2 linked regions of the Neurospora crassa OR74A genome follow. The protein of the gene in region 2 interacts with the protein of the main gene of each other region in a pairwise test. Links are inferred from orthologs where the notes say so. Each region holds a gene or a part of one and is shown on either strand. Other genes may lie near its edges.

What was found.
Region 1: the proteins of hat-2 (region 2) and NCU03095 interact in binary tests that used the Saccharomyces cerevisiae proteins (3 or more experiments, as listed by UniProt). The link is inferred for Neurospora crassa OR74A from reciprocal best matches to the Saccharomyces cerevisiae genes TAF1 and TAF7.

What each region holds. Positions count from the first base shown.
Region 1 is NC_026501.1:4,523,205-4,527,615, forward strand, and holds NCU03095 (transcription initiation factor TFIID subunit 7), read right to left. Parts: upstream 2,931-4,411; 5' UTR 2,448-2,930; coding exon 756-2,447; 3' UTR 534-755; downstream 1-533. Other genes in the region: NCU03094 (hypothetical protein), read left to right, coding at 1-102; NCU03096 (bromodomain associated domain-containing protein), read left to right, coding at 4,006-4,408.
Region 2 is NC_026501.1:2,719,925-2,724,485, reverse strand, and holds the start of hat-2 (histone acetyl transferase-2), read right to left. Parts: upstream 3,066-4,561; 5' UTR 2,689-3,065; coding exon 1-2,688. Other genes in the region: NCU16368 (hypothetical protein), read left to right, coding at 4,468-4,561. UniProt on the Saccharomyces cerevisiae protein: Functions as a component of the DNA-binding general transcription factor complex TFIID. Binding of TFIID to a promoter (with or without TATA element) is the initial step in pre-initiation complex (PIC) formation.

The sequences.
Region 1 (4,411 bases), about 1.8 Mb from region 2:
GATGCCGTGCTGGCGGACGAGAAGCGGGAGGAGCTGCGCAAGGCGATGCGCAAGGAGCGCAAGGCCAAGATTAAGGAGAGTAACTACCTCAAGGCTATGTAAGCATGAGGGGTGGTGGTGGTTCGAGAGGCAGAGGCCCGAGGGAGGACGAGGACGAAACATGGGAGGAGATGGGTGGGAAGGAAGAAAAAGAAGAGGGGGAGCACGTGAAGGGAGAGAAGGAGGGACGGCTAGAGCAGCAGCAGCAGCAGCAGCAGCAGCAGCAGCCGAGTTGATGTGGTGGGCTCGTATGTGTACTAACATCCAACCGTCCAAGAACGACTTCATGGTATGGCTACCTACGGGCACGAAAGCGGACATGGACATGGGGGAATTGTCCTGAATGTAAGAAAACTATATACGGCTTCAGGAGGGTGAAGGGCCTGAGAGCCCTGGAGTGGACAGCCAGAGAGCCATTTGCTATGGTTAGATCCAAAAACGATTCTGTACAAATACATGTGATTCAGTTAGTAACCATAAATTATTGAATGTTTGGACAACAGGTCAGAATTTTGCTCGTGTGCTTGCTTCCCAAGCATCGGTAAATATATTGCCTAACAAGTGCCATTTCTTTGTGCCGCTCGTTGGGCATTCTCAACTTGCTGCTATTCACTGACTTCTGAGTTTCTGGCTAGCATGATATAATATGGCCCATACGATAATCCTTTCTCTGAAATAGATTCCAGGTCCATAACAGCACAGCTTGGATACCCCCTTCAATCTTCCTCGGACACCTCACCAATCGAAGATTGCTTCAGTTTAATCTCCGACTTGATGTTCTTTATACTGCCTTCCAGACGTTTCTTCATGATAATGCTTGTTGCCTTGGACAACTGCTCCTCGTACGAGGCCAGCTGCTTCCTCAGTGTGGCAATCTCAGCCTTGACTCCCGCCACCTCATCATGGCGCTCTTCATCGCCGTCATCGTCCATGTCACCCTCATCATCCTCGTCGTCTTCATCTGATTCGTCCTCCTCGCTGACTGCTTCGGCCGCACTCTCCTCGGTTTGTGCAGCGGTAGGCGTACCCGTGTTGGCGGTGGGGGGTGTGGGAAGATCCATGCCGCCGCCTAACGCCGTGGGCGTGGCAGCGCCAAAGTCCATGGCGTCCATTGCTTCGGCAGGTGTGTCTGCCGCGTTTTCGAATTCTGCCTCGAGATCGTCGAACAGGTTGTCGTCGTCTTGGTTCTGCATATTTGCGTCCCCGAAATAGTCCTCTAGTCGGTCTTCTTCGCCTCCCATGCCTCCGTCCTCGTCACCGTATTCGTGATCGGACTCGGGCGCAGCGGTATTTCCGTGCCCGCCCTCTGCTACAAGCTCGTACCTGGAGTTGAGGGCTTCCCTGTCTGCTGCCAGCAACCGCTCGACCTCGGCTTCCTTGTTCTGGATTTCCAATTTGCTGAGGCGTTTTCTAAACCTCCGGTTTCGTGCATCATGCATCGGCGGGGTGATACCATGGGGCCATCTGTGGCCATGCTCGACAGCCTTGGGTAAAGGAACCGACTTGGCCTCCGCCTCGTCTTTGACCTTAGCAAAGACAAGGATCATTTGGCAAATGTCGGCTGACTTGACCATGGATTTCTTATCCCACGTCTTCATGCCCTCGGTGATTGTGGGTAGATCAACCAGAATAGCGGCGTACGGTTGCCCTTGAATAACAAACATTACTCGCCGTCCTTCTTCATCCAGAAACTTCATTGTAACATCGGCGCCACCTTGATGTTTAGGAACGCCCACTTTCCTTTCAGCCACGGCTTTCCGGAGATAGTCGCAGTGCTCACCAGGCATCATGCGCAAGATCAGCTGCTCTTCAATTACTGGGTCGACTTCCCTATCATCGGCCTCCGAATCGTAACCCTCCCCCAGCGGCCGCGTCGGTATTTTGCCCTGCGATTTTAGGCGAACCTTGGGAGCTAGAAGCGGAGTTTGAACTGGGGTTGTGCCCGAAGGTGCCTTGAGCGTGATCTTCTTGGGCCTTGACTCTCCCCCAATGCCATTCGCTGTCGGACCGTCCTCCGCCTCGGTCTCTTCTCTTGGTCTCTTTCTCGCCGCCGCGTTCAAGAAGACTTTACTTGCCGTCTTGGGCTTGGACATGAAGATGTTGGGAGCAGCCGAGCTTCCTGTTGATATCCGTGGTTGTGTCGGCTGAGATGAAGTGTTGGAATGCGACGGCGGTCTCGGCCCGGCTGGTGTTGGTGGTTGTGAGGACGTGCCCTTGACGTTGAGCTTGATCTTGCGAGGGCCCTGTGAGCCCCCCGGTGTCTGAGGAGGTGGCGAGGCGGCAGAGAGGTTATGGCCAGGCCCAGGTGTAACTGCCGGTGATCCCGTCCTGCCTGCTTGAGATGAGCCATTGGATTGAGTGTTGATTTTGAGCGTCAATGTCCGCTTGACTGGCCCTGGTGGGTCCATGTTTGCTGTTTGTCGTTGCGCAAGGCGCTCTGGTAATCCGTTTCAGCGGTTTGCTGCGGCGTCTTGAGGTCGTGTGACGATGAGGACGTTGAGGAATAAAGCGAATGATCCAGAGATCACTCGGAGGAAATGCTCAATCGCTGAGTACTGGCGTAGGTAGTATGGATAGTCGGCGTCGAATCGGGCGGGAGGCACCGGTACGAGGTGACCTCTAGGTATTAAGAATGGGCGGCCGGTCGTGACTGGACAATGATTTGACCGTCAAGATTTCGATGAGGGCGAGGTGATGACGGACAGGCGCGATGCCTCTTTGTTGCTACCGGGGGATGTGGATCGAACAAGGTACGGCGGAGGTATGCTCTTCGCGTTCTTTGGCGGGCCTGGGCGAGAGCGGGAGGTTTCTTGGTGGGCGGGGAGGAAAGCGGGAGGTGAGGCGCGCTCGGTGCAGCTATCAAAGCCGCTGTTGCGACAAGCGCGTTCTGAAAGTGGAAATGATGCAACGAGCGTCAGCGTGGAAATGTTAAAGTGGGTGGGCCCCCTTTAGCTAAAGTCCGTCGTTGCACGGTCCAAATCGGAGCTTGGCTTTCAAGACTCCACTACGGTTCCTCAGCGGCAGGTGGGGTACAATAGAAACGTGCCGCTGTCCAACTGTTCCAGAACGTCCTGTGTACTTCGACTTGACATGTGCTTTCCTGATGAAAATCACCCATTCTAGTGTAGAGGTATCAATGCGACTGGCCCGAGTGAGAAGAAGGTTTGGGATTGCCAAGAAGCTTGTATTCCTCCAAGATACTATTTTACCTCTTATACTACTTTGAATATAGCACGATGCCGTGACAATGTGGACCTACTTTTATGCCTCCTCAGTTTCACCCGCCAAGACCCCGGAAACTCTCTATGCCTTCTGTCTTTCATCCAATCCTCTTTTATTTCCTTTCCCTATTGTCAACCATAATTAACAAACAAAACTTTCCTAATACGCATGCATTGGCACTCTTCGTCGGCTTGTGACTTCTTCGATATTACGCAGTGGCCTTCACCTCCGGCGAGCGTTGAAGGGACCCAGTTCCAAGAACACACTGCACGGCAGTGACGATACCCATCCCCGCCCCACTAGAGCTGCCTGCCGCAAGCCCGCAAACTCCCTCGAAAACCTAACCCACCTCGTCGCCTGCGATTGAATTGGAGGAAAACCAATTTCCATCTGTTGCCAGCAACGCGCTGCTAATCGCCACGGTTCAGCCCAAGTCATTTTTCTTGGTATAGCTGATCAGTCTCCGACTCTGACTATTTGTCGTCCCCACTGCATCGACAAGCAAAAAGACACGAAACCTCGCAGACAGTGTCTCGACAACGAAGAACAAGTGCACGAGGCCAGGCGCGTATGGCAGTTCTTGATCTGCAGCGCGCCCATTCACCTACCCTCTTGATTGTATCATATCCAATCAGACCTGGCACCTTTGTAGACGACAACCTTTCCCAACGACATTTCTCGAGCAACGCGACGCCATCCTCGACATCAAACCTACCTAGCTGAAACCGAGCGACTCTCGCCAACATGACACCCCCACCATACCTCTACCACGCCCTCCTCCGGCCTTCGATTCTCCAGATCCTCCGCGCAGCCGGCTACCACGGCGCCCGCACCTCTGTCCTCGACTCAGTAACTGATATGGCCGCCCGCTACCTGGACGCACTCTGTCGCCTCACAGCCACCTTCGCCGCGCACAATAACGAAGAGCCCGAGACGGGCGAGCTGGTACCAACGATAGTCGACGTGCGCATGGCCCTGCAGCAAATCGGCGCTCTGTTACCCGAGAAATCGGAACTGGAACAGCTGTATAACGGCGTGGAAGACACTCGGGGAGTGGACGCCTTTGTCGCGTGGGCAGCAGGTCCGGTCAACAAGGAGATCAAGAGGATAGCGCTTGACAGTGACGAGGCGACGGATTATCTCAATGGTG
Region 2 (4,561 bases):
CTCTTGGGAATCCAAGAGACTCTCCCGCTGGCGGTTCCAGATATCGGTAAGAGCCTCGGTGTAGAGTGTGTCCTGGTTCTTGACGTTGTACATGTGCCCACCGTTCGCTTTGCGCTGCCTCTCTATGGCATCTGCTGATGTGGCCATTGGTCCTTGGAGCTGCTCAAGATAGCCGCCTTTCATGGACGTCCTCAGGAAACTGATGCCCAGTCCCTTGCCCGTCGGGTCGCCGGCGCCATGAACTGCAAGCATAGCCTTGCCATGACTGGCGTCAAGAAATGCCTTGGTAGTCTTCCAAGGCGCCATCTTGTTGGCAAGAGCATCTGGAGAGAGCTCATCGTTCACATCAACCCCAATGTCATCGTCCTTGAGGGAATCGGTAGCATCATAACCACCCTTCTCGATCTCGTGCAAGCCCACTTGCATGGCGTCCAATAGGCAGACCTCTTCCGGCCTAACAAGAGATCGAATGGCCGGTTCGGCCATTAGCTCTTCGCCTTCGGGCAGCGCCCAATCTTTTGTTTCCTTTCTAAAGCGCAGGAACTCCTTCAACTTTTGACGATTCTGAGACTCGTTGGACTCAGCTACATGCTTAGTAATATCATGGAGGGTAACATGCTCGCTCTTGCGAAGTAGGCGATACGAGACCATCTTGAGACGATTCTTGGCAATGTTTGTAACACGTCTGGAATGGGGCCCTGGGACTTCCATGGAGGGCAGGGTTTGGCCGACAACGTAAAGATGATCGATATTTCTGATGTACCAAGTTGAGCCTTTTTGGCCGGTACTGCTACGACCAATCAGGAAGTCTGTATTCCTCGGGTTATGCTTGAAAATAGGGGCGCGGAACATGTGGTTGTGAAGAGTAGGCACGACCTCGCCAGGGTGGACGTGACCGAAGATGGCGAAGGGTGAGCGATCTTCTGGCATCAATATACAAGTCTCGCCAAGCTCACGCTTCTCAGGTCTGCTATCAGCGCCTTTAGCTCGACGGAAGTAATTAATGATTTTCTGTCCCATGCCAAAGTTGGAGAGAACGGTGGGAATTTCCTCGCAGTACTCGAAAAGGATAGCGGTCGAGTTGTCGTTGAGGGAGAGGTCATGAGTACTCTTAAATACCTCGCTGACGCGTTTACCCTTGAGAGTCTTGCGCTTGATAATGGCAGGCTTGTCGAACCTGATGAGATACTGCAGATCCTTCTTAGGGTGGAGCTGAGGCCGGTGATAACTATGAGGGTCACTGGCCGCGAGCTTGACGCGGTAGTAAGGCCAAGACAGTCTCTGCGCAGGCAAACTGTGCTCGACAGGGATAGTAGCCAACGTGGCCCGAACCCTATTCTGGCTGTTCTCCTTCAACGCGTCGTAAGCAGCGTCAGAGGAGAAATTGAACCGCTGTATAAGGTCCCGCCCAGCTTTCCCATTCGCCAAGCGGACCGTTTTATGTTGGGTCTTTCGCCGCTTAGATGACCGCTCAGATTCGACGTCGTCTATCAGCAAATAAGGGTCGTTCATGTCAAGGATGACACGCTTGCCCAATTTCGAAGTGACCTGCTCGAATTCGTCCAAATTTGGAGCCGTGAAGTGAGCAATAGGAGGAAGACCTTTAGGAATTTCGATCTTTCTCCGCTTTTGAGCAGGCTCATCGAGGAACATGGCATCCCAGTCCGCCTCTTCATCAGGCTCATCCTTAATGAGCATGTTGTCAGGTTTCGGCTGCGGTCCCGGCTCGATGGCAGCCGCAAGACTGTCGCCCAAGAAAATCATCTGTTCCCAGTCCTGACATATCGTAGCTATGTCCTGGAGGGTATATCCACCTATCCTCTCCGAATCCGTTTCGTCGTCCAAGCTGAATACTTCCAGATCGGTTTGTTCCAAAGGCTCTGGCTCTTCGAGACAGAACAGACCTCTCGCTTCCGCTTCCTTAATCCTCTGCCAAACGGAGCCAGTGGCAGGGCCCGGAATCCGGAACTGCTTTTCCTGATCGGCATCCAACTCCAGACTGAGTTTTGATGGTATCAAGGGCTTGGGAGCTTTGGGGGGCTTTTTTGAGATCCATGTGGCATTCTTGGGCTTCAATAGTTCGTTCCAATGCAGGATGGCGTTTTCCTCAAAACCGGGGAATAGTTGCTTGACGGCGTCGATGAAGTTTTCCGCTGGCGGAGGAATGTCGGGATCTTGATTTGTCGCATGCGGCTCTTCGTCATTGTCGAAGTTGAGGTTCCGGAGGTCTTCAAGGGACTCCCCGGCGGCAGCATCCGGACGTTTTTTGGCATCAACATCGTCATGGACGTCGAGCGGCGGGGGAGAGGATCTCAGGCCATCGTGAGCTGTGTCCATGGGCGATGAGGGGTCGCCACCAAAGAGGTCGTCGTCATCATTAGTGCCGGCGTCGTCGATGAGGCTTGGCAGCTCGCCACTGGTGCCGGAAGTGCTCGGTTCGTCGTTGGGTAGCTCGTCCTCGTCGCTCAAGTCGATGTCCTCAAAGTCGATGGCATCGTCTGCCTTGCCTCGTTGATCGATCTCGCCTCCCGACTGGAGGTTCCCCAGCATTTCAGTCAGACCATCGTTACCACCCGGGCCGAAGCTGTTGTTGATCTGGCGAATGGCTTCCTCATCGCGGGCCTCCTGCTCCTTCCATCCTTCCTCATTGAGGGCGTTGAAATCAAAGTCGTCGTTGTCTGCGGGCATCTTGCCGGGCGGAGAGGCGATGCCGCCTCAACGCTGTGTGTTGTCGTCTGTCGCGCAGTCGTCCGCCCGTCTCTCTCTTGCTCCCTCCAACGGTTGCGCGGCCGGTTAAGCTGTCAGATCATGATCCTGGAGCGGAGAAATCGTCGAGAATGCCCGCGGCGGGGGAGCAAAGTGAACCAAGCGCGCGTTCGGTGTTGGTGGGGTGTTGGCAACGCCGCATGCAATTTTGGGTCGTGGTTGTGGCAGAGTCGAAATGGCCGTCGGGTGAGTCGAGGGTGAGGTTGACGTTGAGGTTGCAACGGTACCTAGCGGAAGTTGCAAAAGTGTTGAACCTCCCACAAGCAAGGAAGCACACTGCCACTGCGCGGAGTGCAAGCGTGCTTGAATGCGAACAACGAATCGGCCTGTCGGGGCCACTGCACGGCTACTCTAGGTACCTCTAAGTGGGTCCGTTGACCGGGCCCGGGTCTGGCAGCCGTGTGACAGCCTACCTAGGTACCTACCTATTCTAGATACCTAGCGAGCAGCCCCAGGGCAGTGACTGGGGGACGCTAAGTGCAGTGAATGGCTCGCGCACACTGTCCCTGGTCTTGAAGCATAATACCTAGGTAGCGTTGAACCTGGAACTTGCTTTGGGAATCTGGTAAGGAACCTGGAATAGGTAGGTAGGTACAGGTAGAGGTAGAGGTAGGTAGCCCAGGTACCTAATACCTAAACTGTACAACCTGGAAACTCGGGGCGTTGATTTTCAACTTCCTAGGAAATCAGGCATAACCTGTAAGCATGCTGCCCGATTATGTGCATTTTATGTCCACAAAATTAATTGGAGGAGACTTCCATGTTGCCACCCCGAAGCACGGTAAATTCGATTCTTCAATGTCCTGCCTTAAAACACCTATCTTTTCAAGGGCGCTGGAGCGTGGAGACATTCAAAATCACCGTCTTGCATAGAATTTTTGGTGGGCATGAATGTTGCAGTATGCTTACAGCTTAGGCCTGATTTCCCAGAAAGTTGAAAACCAACGCCCCGAGTCTATACGGTATGCGACCTCACCTACAACTTACAAGTACCATCCAGGTAAAGTAAAGAATATGGAGGAAGAACTAAAGCTTCCCCGCCTTGTGTGACAACCAAATCAACGGCAGGTACAGAAGGAATAGGACCCCGTTGGAGGCGAAGAGACATGAATCGAGAGCGAAATCAAATACTGATTAATTGATCTCTTACAACAGTAGAGTGACGCGCAACTTAAGTCCCGTCTCCCTCTCTGTTCGGGCCAAATGGCCACAATGTCACCCGCAACGTGGGGGGCAGAACACACCTGAACTGATGCGAGATGTCATTTCCAGTCTCTCTGGATTCTCATTTCTCTGCAACCACACTCGCACGCCCATACCAGTGCTCAGCCCGTTTTTGGCATGACAGTTCGGATGTTATACCCTGCGAACTGGCAGGGCCATGAAGTTCAGCAACAGTACACTCACTACCAATGGTGTTTTTGACGTACAGTGGGAAACTGTGTTAAAGCCACGGCCGAAGCCATGGTTACGTACTAGGCTGTCGGTAAAGCCAAAGCTACATTTACCTACTAGAGGTACTATTCCTCTTTCTTGAGATGACTGGATTAGGTGGTTTAAAGAATGTAACAAATCAGCCGATATTGTGGGCCACAGTCATACTGCGTCTACCATAGCAGCTTCGTCATCGCCTTTTGCACCGTTTTCTTTACCTCGCACACCAAGTGAAGTTTCGAGGGCAAAAATACCACACTGCTCACCATGGCAAACCCCGTAATGGAAGAGTTGAAGCAAAAGCAAGATGCTCTAAGGGCGAGGTTCGTCGGCAAGCAGCTGTCCGAGGTCCCTACGCCCA